Linked DNA regions of Daphnia pulex. The protein of the gene in region 2 interacts with the protein of the main gene of each other region in a biochemical or structural test. Links are inferred from orthologs where the notes say so. Each region holds a gene or a part of one and is shown on either strand. Other genes may lie near its edges. The genes, in order: syntaxin-5-like and general vesicular transport factor p115-like.

The links.
Region 1: the proteins of general vesicular transport factor p115-like (region 2) and syntaxin-5-like form a complex in vitro, tested with the Homo sapiens proteins (2 studies listed by BioGRID). The link is inferred for Daphnia pulex from reciprocal best matches to the Homo sapiens genes USO1 and STX5.

The regions. Positions count from the first base shown.
Region 1 is NC_060017.1:4,339,658-4,345,999, reverse strand, and holds syntaxin-5-like, read right to left. Parts: upstream 3,195-6,342; 5' UTR 3,041-3,194; coding exon 2,598-3,040; intron 2,532-2,597; coding exon 2,476-2,531; intron 2,407-2,475; coding exon 2,165-2,406; intron 2,078-2,164; coding exon 1,707-2,077; intron 1,639-1,706; coding exon 1,479-1,638; 3' UTR 1,241-1,478; downstream 1-1,240. Other genes in the region: leucine-rich PPR motif-containing protein, mitochondrial-like, read right to left, coding at 1-76; proteoglycan 4-like, read right to left, coding at 3,960-4,337, 4,628-4,642; importin subunit beta-1-like, read right to left, coding at 6,223-6,342. UniProt on the Homo sapiens protein: Mediates endoplasmic reticulum to Golgi transport.
Region 2 is NC_060025.1:2,005,406-2,011,890, forward strand, and holds the start of general vesicular transport factor p115-like, read right to left. Parts: upstream 3,862-6,485; 5' UTR 3,742-3,861; coding exon 3,673-3,741; intron 3,487-3,672; coding exon 3,113-3,486; intron 3,041-3,112; coding exon 2,742-3,040; intron 2,681-2,741; coding exon 2,565-2,680; intron 2,471-2,564; coding exon 2,086-2,470; intron 1,999-2,085; coding exon 1,790-1,998; intron 1,724-1,789; coding exon 1,601-1,723; intron 1,532-1,600; coding exon 1,421-1,531; intron 1,356-1,420; coding exon 1,184-1,355; intron 1,045-1,183; coding exon 968-1,044; intron 901-967; coding exon 799-900; intron 729-798; coding exon 486-728; intron 388-485; coding exon 319-387; intron 242-318; coding exon 1-241. UniProt on the Homo sapiens protein: General vesicular transport factor required for intercisternal transport in the Golgi stack; it is required for transcytotic fusion and/or subsequent binding of the vesicles to the target membrane.

The DNA.
Region 1 (6,342 bases), on a different chromosome or scaffold from region 2:
CATTATTTAAATCAAAACTTCTTGTTAAATTAGAGAATAACCGAAAAAACTTTCCCGAACGTAACATTGAAGCCATTTTTCAGTTTTCCACTCTTCGGAGGGCGTCCCTAAACTGCGAAAGCGAAACGCGAAACGCGAAACGCCTAAAATGCGGAAAAGCTGTGCGAAACGGACCAAAATTTTGGGACCGTTTCGCGGGACCAAATGCCGGAGGGCATACTAAAGAGCGAAACATCTTGCGAAACAAAAAGTTTTCCTATTCTCCACAGAGGCACAGAGGTCCAAATTGACGGAAATTGCCGCCATTTTTCATTGTCTGCTATGATGAGGCATTAAAGGAGGAAGGGGGGCAATCAAATTCGATTTCTTCGCCACTACCCCTGTATGTTTTGATGCGCATTTTACGATTATTAAACTAATGAAAGACATAGAGCAGCACGTTATGGTGATATTTTTAAATAATAAAATATTAGGTAATGGCCCAGGGATTACATCGGATTACATTAAATAATTTAAATCAACCAGTAGGTACGTGCACAAAGAAAGAATCGGCCATAACAGTATGAGTGCCTTATATCAAGCTAAAAGTCAAAGCTACCATGTTCCAAATCAAGCTAAAATTTAATCAGCTAAAACTTTCCTTAAAATTAAGAATGTTAATCTGATTGATACTGATACAGTATGGAAACGAGAAGTTCCATTAATTTTTTTATACCAATCTTCTAATTAAAACACCTATTACATATTGCATTCAAGGTATTTCGTATTCATGGTCAACACACAAATAGACCAGCCATAAGGTGCGCGAAACTCGAAAATTTGAAACTCTTAACAATTTGTTTGTTGACGGCGTCCATTGTCGTCTGCTACCAAGACGTTTACACTGCGACGTTTCGCACACACCGATTTCGCAGTTTAGTACGGACCCAAAGACTAAAATGCGAAACAGGGTCTCAACTTTTGGGTCCGTTTCGCACAGCTGTTTCGCATTTTAGGCGTTTCGCGTTTCGCGTTTCGCTTTCGCAGTTTAGGGACGCCCCTCTTCGGAGTAAGAGAGCACACACTCGAAGATTCAGAACTGCGGGCTAGTACTAAACTTTGGGAAAATTGTTGCGGTATTTTTTTAGATCAGAGGGTGATTCTAAACAACCTTTCAAAATACAGCTGACGGAAATGAATGGAATTGGAATGCAATTTAAAAAAATACTAGCTGGCTAGCTATAATATTGAAGATGTCAAATATAGATTAGAATTTATTTATTCTTCTGATATTTTACTATTGAATTTTATTCTTAATACATCACAGTTTATAACTTCATCATGAAAATCACCAGAAGTCTGCTGGGCAACATTTTCGTCAGAGGGCACATCTACATTCGTTAATCAAGCACAATGGAGAAACGAACCGTGAGTTTTAAATTCATTAGGATCGAAAATTGTATTGGTAAATGAATTGGAAATCGTACTTTAGATAATTTTCAAGCAAAAAAGATGGCGAATATTACAACAAACACAAGGACAACCCCAAAGACTTTTAGCATCAGCCACCTATTAGAAGAGACGGAACGAAAGTAACGCAAGAGTTCGTCATGAGCGGCTTCCACATTAAGTTGGGCATCGTCGACATTCGAGTCAATCCTACACGAAGAAAAATATTTCCATAAATTCTTTGTTATAACATATTCTAAAATAATTAATATTATTACCGCTGAACCATTTCTTCTTGTTCGCGAACCATGAGAGCCAGTTGCTGGAAAATTCCGCCCAACTCCACGATAGTGGATTCTATACTTTGGACTGCGTCAGAACGACTTTGCAGGTAAGATTCTGTTTCGTCGGCAAACACTTGCTGCTGAATTTGATTCCTGTTGGTTCTGTTGTCAGCGGCACCCATGTCGATAGCTACTGCTTCTCCTCCATGGGCTTGATAGGCAGCATCACGGAGTAGAACAGATCCTTTAGAACCATTTTGAGAGGATCCAAACGGTCCTCCTGTCAAGGCTGCAGCCGGTAAATCAGAAACGACTGGGACGGAGCCAGAAAACTGTTCTCGACGGCTTCTCTGGGCTTTAAGATTCTAAAATATTTTCAAAACATTCATTTTACTGAATATCCTAGATAATAAAATCTAGTAGTTATTTTTTAAACTAGGAAAGGCGTGTACCTCAGTGCGGACTTCAAGGACTTGTTTGAATTCAGAAGACATATTGGCTAGCTTCGACTGAAGAGCTACAACGACATTTGCTGAATGGGCCTTGGTATTTTGTTGTTGATTCTGTTGCTTTTTCATGAATCCTTGCAGATGAGCAATCTGTTTGTTCAGATTTGTGATATCTTCACGGATGATGTAAGTCAGTTCTTGGATCTCTTGAGGACGATCATCAAATAGCGTTCGTTTTTTCGCCACTGCAAGCATAAATGTGAAACCATGAAATGATTGGTTGAACAGTAGAAATTAAAAACAAAGCTAATTACATAGAGTTAGTTTTTCCAGTTTTGCATATGTGTTGCTCAAATCCTTACTAATAACTCTGTACAGAAAAAAATTTGAATATTTTCAATAGTTGCAAATATTTTCTTAAAAGTCGACAACTTACTTTGCCACTTTCATGAATTCAGAGTACTGTTGATGTTGATCTGTATTCTTAGATGGATGTGATTGACTCGGCCTCCCAACTACTCCGTTAACTGGCCTACTCTGGAAGCTTCTGACTGCAGAGAGAAACTCTGCAGTCCGATCACGTGAAGAAGCATTGGTGGAAGACAGAACTGATGAACTCGAATTAGATGCTAGGGCCATCATGTCAGCGCTGTTGGTTTTTGCTTGAACATCTACAAATTTATCTGTTGAATAATTTGGTGCAACAAATGCACCTATTTCACCCTGCGGAACAATGAAAAAGGATGGCTGCTGTTGAGGACTTTCTCCCGACCACAGTAAAACGGATGAAGAGCCTTTCAGGACTTGGTTTTGCAGTTGGGTTTCAGCAAGCGGCTGATGCTCCGATTCAGAGCCTTGCCGGCGTCTTCGAGTAATCATCCGTCAAAAATTTATCTCTCGAAAAATTCATCCGTTTTCGTCTTTGAAATCCAAATAATCGGGAACGCCAGATATTTTGCGACAAGAAACTATACCGAATGCCACGTCATATTAAGGGTTGTCTGCAGAGTGTGTGCAGACGAAAAAATACCAAACATTAGCCGTAATTCCCAACGTTGCCAACGTTAATTATCTACTGTATAAAGTTCAATATTTATCATTTTATTTTAACCTTTATCCAGCTTTATCAATTACTATTATTAATTACTATGTATAGACTTTATCTTTCTACAATGTTGGTTTGCTTTAAATGTCGCAAATTCCTCCTAAGAGAAGTATGACTTACGTACTAGGTTCTCCATCGTTCCCGCGTCATACCAATCAAAATTATGTTTTCATCTCAATTTATTTTTTTTTATTTAGGAAAAGCCGTTTTCATTGCTAGCGAGGGAAGACCAAAACAATATTATAATGCACACTTAGAAAAGTGTACTCATGTGTAATTCTACTGTTGAACACAGAAGTTCCCAAACATTTTTTTTTACATATAAATTTGTAAAGCATTTCTGTTAATTTTATTTTATTTCCTTTCCAAAAATTTTTAACAACCGTCTCAAGATTTACGCTTGATTGCCAAAGCTTACGTAAATCTTCAAATCCCTATAAAACACAAGCAAATAGTATTTGGTTGTACGGAAATAAAATCGTAAATGAAATAATATTGATAACAAACGATTTCTGCATATTATATTTACTAAATATCACTGCCAATTAAATAAGAATAGCAAATTGAGTCGTATTACTCAGAAAGAGACGGCCTGCTCATATTCGAAACAACGATGGAATGTTTAACTGTGGGCCTATAGATATGTAAAGATTGAAGAAACAACAAAGAAAATGATGGCCGGAATTGAATCATTTAAACTTTCTTGGTCGTGGCTGTGCGCTTAACCGTAGTGGACGCGCGCTTAGCAGTTGTAGGTGCGCGCTTGACAGTAGTGGTCCTAGGTCTAGGTGTTGTAGATGCGCGCTTGGCAGTTGTGGGTGCAGGTCCACGCCTAACAGTAGTGGTTCTCGGTTTAGCTGTTGTTCCTGCCCGCTTGACAGTAGTTGTTCTCGGTTTAGCTGTTGTTCCTGCGCGCTTAACCGTTGTCGATGAACGCTTAACAGTCGTAGCAGCACCAGCCATGGGCTTAGCCGTCGTCGATACCTGTTTAACAGTTTTGGGCGTTGTTTTTGAAGCACTCTGCTGGGAATTAGCCAGCGAAATGATGGCTACCACAATAAAAATCTTCACCTATTGAAATCAAACGCATTTTCATTAAATATTTATCAAAGAGTATACACAGTCATAATTTGTTATTGGTAAAATCACTTTCGCCGTGCTTTTGGCCGCTTGGTAGCTTAGAGGCAAGGCTTTAAATACGAATTTTTAAAAATCATTCAGGAAATAGAATACATGAAATACTATTTCAATAAATCGCTGCACTACATCCCAAATGAATTCCATTTAAATTGATTCTACGGCCTATGTCTAAATATAATACAGGTGTAACAGATACAAAGTAAATGTAACAGTGATCATACCAATAAGTACTTCATTGTGTTGAATTTTTCTTCTAGCTGCCGATGAAAAGGAGTTGTTTTCTCGAACGAAGATTACTGGTTACTTGATCAGGAATTACCGAGTCACGCATTAATATAGCCGCGGATGCCCATTTTTTTTTTTTTTTTTGCACTTCCTTCTTCACTTCTAACATTTTTATGTTGTATTGGCGGATAGTTTCAGTCCTTCTTGTTCAGAAAGGATATTTCCTTCGGTGGTCCGAACCACGTAGGAGGATCATCTATCTTTGCCATAAGAATTGTTCTTGTACTGCAATGCTGCGTGACTATTCATTCGTTTTCTAGCGGACAAGCTTTTCCGGTTTAACAACTCCGCGGCTGTCAACATTTGGTAACAAGACAATGAAGAATCAAAAATGCAAAAGCAAAAAAAAAAAAAAGCAAATAAAAAAAACATGAATGTTCAAATTCCAGTTTTTTTCTCAAAGAAAATTAGCATTTTCAAATCAGTTTCAAGCAATCTTCAGTCAGTTTTTAACTTTTTATAATTTTTTTTCTGAATTTCATTCGATCGCTATTGGTTCTACTTTGTTCTAAAAATATTCCCCGTACATTTGGCCAAAGGTAATTGTAAAATTACTCACCAAGAATCAATTTAAGAAATTCCCCCTAATCCACACACTCTGAGGAGTCAAGAACCGCTCGTATCTTGTCATTTAATACATTTTCCATTGAAATTTGAAGCAGCAGTTGATGTGTTTTTTTTAAGACAAATCATTTTTATTTTTATGACATCACCTTTTATTTATTTTATTTTTGACCTTTTCTTTTCTTTTGAACAGATGAGTTGGCCCAAGTTTGAGTAGGATGGATGGATTCTTCTTGTCATGCAAATCAAGATTTTTCGTTCATTCACCTGCGCAAACGTGCGTGCTTGATTTTAGAAAATATGCATTGCTTACATTAAAAAGCGCAGCAGTATCCAAAACTAGTTTGGCAAACCAGCTTGTTCATTCTTGACCGTGAAATCAGGAAGACGTTGTATTGTATCAAAGCCAAAAATTCTCGACATGTTGATGTATACGATACGGTGACATTTCAAATGCATACGAAAAAAAAAAACATAATTGGTCATTCAACTCTCCTCAAAGCACAAATAACGCAAACATACGCTCAAACCGGATTGAATGATTAACTCATTTGTAAGTCAAAGCTATCGGTTGAGGACTTGGAGGTCACCACGTAAACAACTACATGGAAGTTTATATTTGAGCACGTAAGAGTACGCTCACGCATAAACTCCTCCTTGTCCATCGCCCACTACCATGCCCAGAGGGGCAGAGGCCCAGGGTCAAGAACAAAACAAATGGAAGCTTCAGAGGAAGAATATCAAACAAAGTTCTTTGCCAGTTTCATCTGACGTACTAATGATAACAACCAAAAATCTTTTTCAAGTATGACTAAACTGAGATCACCAATAACTATTTTAGATTCAACAGCTTGGTTTCCTGAAGATAGAAATTTACCGGTAATTTGGCCTTCATTTTATTTTTCATGGCACGATAAATAAATATTTGCTTTTACAGGTTCCATGATATAAGGGGAAAATATAATCATTATTCAACAGCGTTAAAAGCTTCAAGTGCTGACATTGCAAACTTGGGCTCACTGAACTCGCCTTTTGACTCACGTGAATTATCAGCGAGGTGTACTGCAGCACTGACCAACCACTTGAG
Region 2 (6,485 bases):
GCACCTGTCCATCCTGATCGGCTAAAAGGACAAGCAAGTCTTCCTGATCTTTTTTGACTCGTTCAATCTCGTCTTGAAGTCCGGCATTGACCGACAGACAGTCAGCCAATCGCTTCTGCGAATCGCCTAATTCCGCTTCCATCGCTTCCAGTCGACTCTTGACTGCTTTGAGCTCTAGCTCGAGCGGATTAGCTGCCGACGTTGATTCCGGTTGACGAAAGAACGAACACACTTGGACGTCCTGAAAAAAAAATAAAATTAAAAAAGAGATGACAATCATCCAGGAATGATTCCAAACAGAAAAATAGCTGCTGATACTTCATGCGTGGTAAAGCTATCCATTATGGAAGCCGATTGGGTTGAAGCGAATTCGACAGCGATTCCGTTCTACATGCAGCGGATAATATATGTGTTGAATCAGTAAACCATGCAAAAGCTGCAAAAGGAATCCCAAAATGCATCCGCATCATGACATGTATACTCACAGACGGAGGAATGCCAACGTAGTGATTGGCAGCTTGTTGCTGCTCTTCCAGCTGACCGCGAAGTCTCTCATTGTCTAGACGTAACGCTTCCAGCTCTTTCACCAACTTGTCAGTCGACGATTCGGGTGGCGGAGTTGAAGGCTCGCCTCCGTCAATTATGACGTTATTGTTCCGTTGGGCCTTGAGCAATGTATTTTGATCCTGGAGGTGCTGCACGTTGACGTTCAACTCTTCGATCTTGCTCTGAGAGTGCGTCACAAGGTAAATCAAGAAATTGTTCTCCCAGCGTAAAGGTTTTCTCGGGAAAATATACCTGAGCGGCTATGTGATCCCCTTCCAAGGCAGCTAATCGCTGCCGCAGGTGTTGTATCTGTCCATCTTGCTCACGAATGACGTCCTTGTATTTGGCCAAAGCCTTCAATTCCGATTAAAAGATATTTGTATCATAGATATCGATTATTATTACGATTATTACGACCTACCATCGATTCGGACGGGGATTCGGCTCCTTTAGGACTGGTAGGCGGAGCCACCGCTTTGGCAATGACACCCTCTAGTCCTATTAATAGAACGAAACACAAGAAGGAAAAAAAAGAACTGGTTAAAGCTATATCTAAAGATGAAATCCAATCCAAGTCCTGTCAGTCAACTCTATACGTTGATCGAGTAGCCATGGCTGCCAGCGGGAAATTGAATACCTTTGTACAAGCGACAGAACTCGTGATCGAATTGGATATCAGCCGCGGTATTGATCCGAATTTGAGGGTGTTTGAGGGCTTTGCTGTACACTTCGTGTTTAGCGATCTCGGCAAGTTTGTCGACGAATGTTTCGACTCCGATTCGCTTGGTTATTAGTTGGCACAGGGATTCCTACATGACGATAACACTCAATACAGTAAATGACTAGGTGCAACTGGGCAGCAACGAAAATATACCTTGGAAAAGTTGCTGTTTGCATCGTTGTTGTAGACCACGCAGAGTCCTAGGAGAAAAGCGCACAAGCTCTGCACAAGCACCTCTTGGTCGTCGTGCTCATTGGAAGCCACCTAAGATAACATTTCCCAATTTTTCTTTTACTAGGAGATACTTTAAGATAATTTGAAATGGGATTTTACCAGGGCCGTTAAAAATGCCACAGCATTTGGGAGTTTTAAAAATTGAGCCACAGAGTTGGGGCTATCTGCCAACCAGGTGGACAATAACGTCAGAATACCCAGTCGAGTCTGCAACTTGCCACCCTGAGACACACATAAATGTTAGTCAGAAACGTATAGTTCAAGATGAATTTGAATCAAGAAATTTACCAATTGGAGTATACTAAAAGCTTGTTGTAGGAGGGAAACGGGTGCGACATCTTTGGCGATAGCCAAGTGCACCCTTAGCAACAGTTCCCTGTTGTTGGTGTTGTTGACAAGAGCGTGAGAGAGTGCCACGGAAGAGAGCCAGTGAGAAAGGCAGTCGGTCGAGAACAGTCCACCGCACAATAATTGGCCAGCTGAAATTTGCTGCATGGCTATGATACGAAAAAAAGAGAAAACAGGTTTAATGTTTCCATGCCGGCTGGATATCACTTTCTCTTGCGGGGGGGATTATTATTCACCTTCTGCCGATGTGGGTAAAAGTGCCTGGATAATCTGTCCCTGACTGAAATCGTTCTTGTAGAGGAAACACTCGAAACAGTAGAGAACGGACGCTCGGAGCAGCACCGGCTGCTTTTCGTTGACCATAGACATGAGGAGAACGACCAAGGCTGTTCGCGGCGGTGACGAAGAGGCCATCACTTGGCCAAAGAATTCTTGATTGCTCCGGCAGCCGCGAATCGATTCGCCGACTGTGCAGATGATTTCGCTGAGGATGTCAGCCGGAACGCCGGGCGACATGAGTAGAGCACACAATTCGGAAAGCAGACCACAGCCGGCCACATTTTTCTGGGCTGGAGACACCACTTGAGTGGCGTTGGCCGGAGATACCAATGTTCTTACCACCTGTGGGGAAGAGATATATAACAGTACTTACTAACTCTCACTCTTTCCCTTTTTATTTATAGAATTAGGCTGTCGATGATGATTTTGTTTATACCTGAAGCATGGAATGTACATTGCTAATCTTCTGTATAGACCAACTGCCAGTTGGATCACCCCCCTCCGACTGTTGGCATGACTGGAAAAACGGTGTGATGTGCTTCATGCAGGATTCTGGTGGTTGCAATCGACTTTTTAAAATAGAATTCGAATTGAAATGAATTAGATGGATTACCTTCTCGAAAGACTGTCTGGTTTGAGGCGTTGCGTTTGAGGAGGTTGAGCATAAGTTGTAGGGAATCGTCTACGACGATACCGCCGTCACTGTAGCCCTCGCTGCGAACGACTTGAAAGAGCTGGTCGAAACCACGTTCATAGGCGATAATGTTTTGAATGTTGGCATTGCTTTTAGTCAGCTGGATGAGAAGGAGTAAGGCTTCGTTTCGCACGAAATCCCGGCTATCACTGAGGATATCGATTAATTTGGCCACACCCATCGGACATGCCAGAACAATTTCCTGCATTTCTTTCGATCTGTGAAAAAATGTGTATAATTAATAAAAGGTTTTTTTTAAAATAATGAACGAGTTAAAAATAGACACTGACTTGTTGTTTAAGAGGTTCATTAGCAGACGAATCGCTGGAAGTCGAACGTGAAAATCATATTCGTCTAGTAACGTGATGACGCTTATGACATTCTCTGCTTTTTTGAGAAAGATTTCAGTGAACTGCTCTCCAACTGGGGCACCGACACCCTCTTCTTCAAAAACCTCTGATGAAGTTACATTGCATAATGTTTCCAGGACGAAACTGGATGTCTCCAGATCCGGCTGGCCATTGAGCACCTCAATCAAGGCATCCAAGCCGTGGGCCCCCACTTCCAATCGATACTTTTTGGAAAGGGCTTTGATGGCTCTGCAGGCATCCCGTTTGTCCTCCAGCAGAGTCGAAGATGTGACTCTCTCAACCAGTCTCAGCACCTGATGAATAGAAAAAAAGAATATTTTAAAGAAGCAATCTTGACACGAATTCCCCCAAAAATAAACTCAAAAAGTCCTTCACACGCCATCGAATTTTACGGGCCACAGCTGTTTATCAGAAAAGAAAACGGTCAAGGACACGACTGCACTTAAGTGATTGACGTTAATTAATGTCAATTGAATTACCGTGTCAGCAGGAGAAGGCTCCGCTTCCGGCTGGCTGATGACAGACTTGAAGCCGAAAAAATAATCCATCACGACTTTGGGAAAGTATGTCTATAATAGTTCTATTTATTTATTTATTTACTTCTAAATTTGGAATCAAAGCCGTTTGGGTTACACGTCATTTCGATTCAACCAATTTCGTCTGCTTGGCTTTGTTGCCAGATATTTAAAATGGGCCGCGTTGAGCCGGTCACTAGGGAGGGCTTTTTGAATGGGATTTCGTGTTAGATTTGACAGATTCGCAGGTATCGGGTGTTGGCTCGAGGTCAAATTTGATCCTTTTGACGAATTCTCTGTTAATTTGAAATACATATCCTATCACGCGCTGAGGATATCCTTTCGCTCCGTGCCGCGTCTAATATTTAACGAATATAATTCTAGACTTGACATCCTGTCGATCGATCGAGGGGAAGAACGGATTGGGTTACAGCCTGCTGGCCACAGGCAATCTTTTACCAGGTGAAACAAAGAACCGTGCAGCAAGGAGGACCACTGTAAGCAGCGGTCGTGCTGCTGCTTGGTCCACAAAGATTCATGTATAATTCTAGTTTGGAAAATTATTTTTATCTACTGACGAGATCTATCTCGACCTTCACGCACAAATTGTGTGGGAAGTGTCAAACGGGATATCATGCCCAAGGCTTTCCTTTCCCTTGTTCTTTTGTTGTTTTTATTGTTGTCAAAGGTTTTTTTAAAAAAAAGAATCCCTATCCGCAAGAACTTGAAATACCTGCTTATAACGCCCGATTTTGCAGCGAGTGGTCTGCTGCCAGTCTGCTGCCAACAGCCTTATATCTTTTTTGCATACATTAGCCAACCACACAGTAGACATGAGGAAGCTATAAATCCTTATAATCCCATATCCTTTTTTCCCAAAAATGGAATTTTAACGTTTCAGGGTTCTGTTGAAAACAAGGCTGAACTGTGATATATCCCCTAGCACATCCAGAAAAAAAAGTTCTTTGTTGCAGCTAGAATTATTGATTGGTGGTACTATTATATAGCGTACCTTTTTTTTCTTCTCAACTTTAATCCATTTCTTTCCCTGCACCTCGCATCCGGCTGGCAGCTGCTGGTTGCAAACTCTTCCTGGACTGCCGTGAGCAGTCAGCAACAGAGTATATACAGTATATAATATACACAACAACACAATGTCTCTGGATGGCTATTGGCTCACCGGTAGTTTTAAGTTGCTGTTGCCATCCGAAGCCCTTAGCCTACGTGATGTCGAGCAGGGAAACCAGGAACTCCCTTCCTTGTAGTACCCCCTACGTTATTATTTTTATTTCACTTGGATTTTTTGTTTTATATTTGCCCTTTGTTCATTCAGTCCGTCATGCAAAACGTTGTTATCTTTTTTCCGTCTTCTGGTTTTTTCTAGAAGCCTTTAAAAAACCAGTTCGGAAATTTTGATACAGTAAAATAAAAATGGCTGATGTAAGAGATAAGAAAAATTTCTCCGGAAAAAAAAATTCAAGTCTCCCAAGACAAAGAAAAAGAGGTTGAGTTTAAATAAAAGAAAACAAAGAAAAAAGATGAAGTAAAAATATGGGGTGATTGCGTGTGACGTCACTGTTGCTGTGGGCCGCTAGGGCAATACACACTATACGCCAATATCCCCATTACCCTGGCAAACCCCTCCCAGACAAAGAAAGGAACATCAAAGTTCACAACAGATAACGTAGTCACTCTCGGATCCGGGACAAAGAAACACCACGCTACACCAGCGACACTCGACGGCTGGCGATGGATATTTAATTCATAACTAATGAAATCTTTTCATTTTCACGCTTTAAATTACTTAAAAATAGCTTCAGTTCAATGTAAAATAATTACAATCAACTTTCGTGTTGATCAAGTACGTAATTAGAATCAAATTATCTAGAAGATTCTGTGCACAGAGGGCTCTGGCGTCAGTTGAAACAATGTCGTCTGCTTGGAAACCGAGTGAACGCACCGTCAGTCTGCAGTGGTCGTTGCTAAGGTAGTCAACTCGAGAACAGAGGCCTTTCTTTCTCAGTCGATGGGCACCATTCACGTTGAAAAGGCTGTTTCACTTTGCAGTCGCCATCAATCGCCCTTGTTCTTTCACTAACAAAGACCGGCCCACTTTTTCTCCCTTATTCTCTTCTAAATTTTCACCTTGATCAAAGCAAAAAACAGTTCTTTTTCGCACACAGTCTCTCAAGTTTTTAAAGCAAATCACACAATCCTTAACTACCAAGAAACCCCCTTGCACGTTATTAAATTCGCCGGCTCTTTTTTCCCTTGTTTTATTCGTGACGTCCGAAATTTCGCCAACATTGAAGAAAATGGAGGTTATGCCGTTGCCAGTTGCTTTTGATTTTAATGAAGGTAAGAAAACAAAATTTCATTCAATGTCCCTATCTTTTATGTGTATTTGAGTCGGCTCACGAAATCGAACAAAGAAACCCCCAACCTACCGGCTTTGTCGTAGCCCGAACGTGCTAGAAAACCGTTGGGGAGAAAGTCACGTTTACCGGTTCCACCTATTTAAAAAAAACTTAAAGTTAAAATTGCACAACGTATTATCAACTGCTATTTAGTTCACATTTAATTGCTACGTGTGGGTGATTTCTTCGACTTTGTCTTGGTGATGAACTATGACCTTGACTCGTGCCTAGTCTGGACCTGTGTGTGTGTCTTTGTTCGCCCACCCCCATCCTCCTTGGGTCCCTTTGCCCATTAACCATAGAGACAAGAGAAAGGGCCCTTTGTACTGGGGACACACCTTAGATTGTCACGTTCTTAAT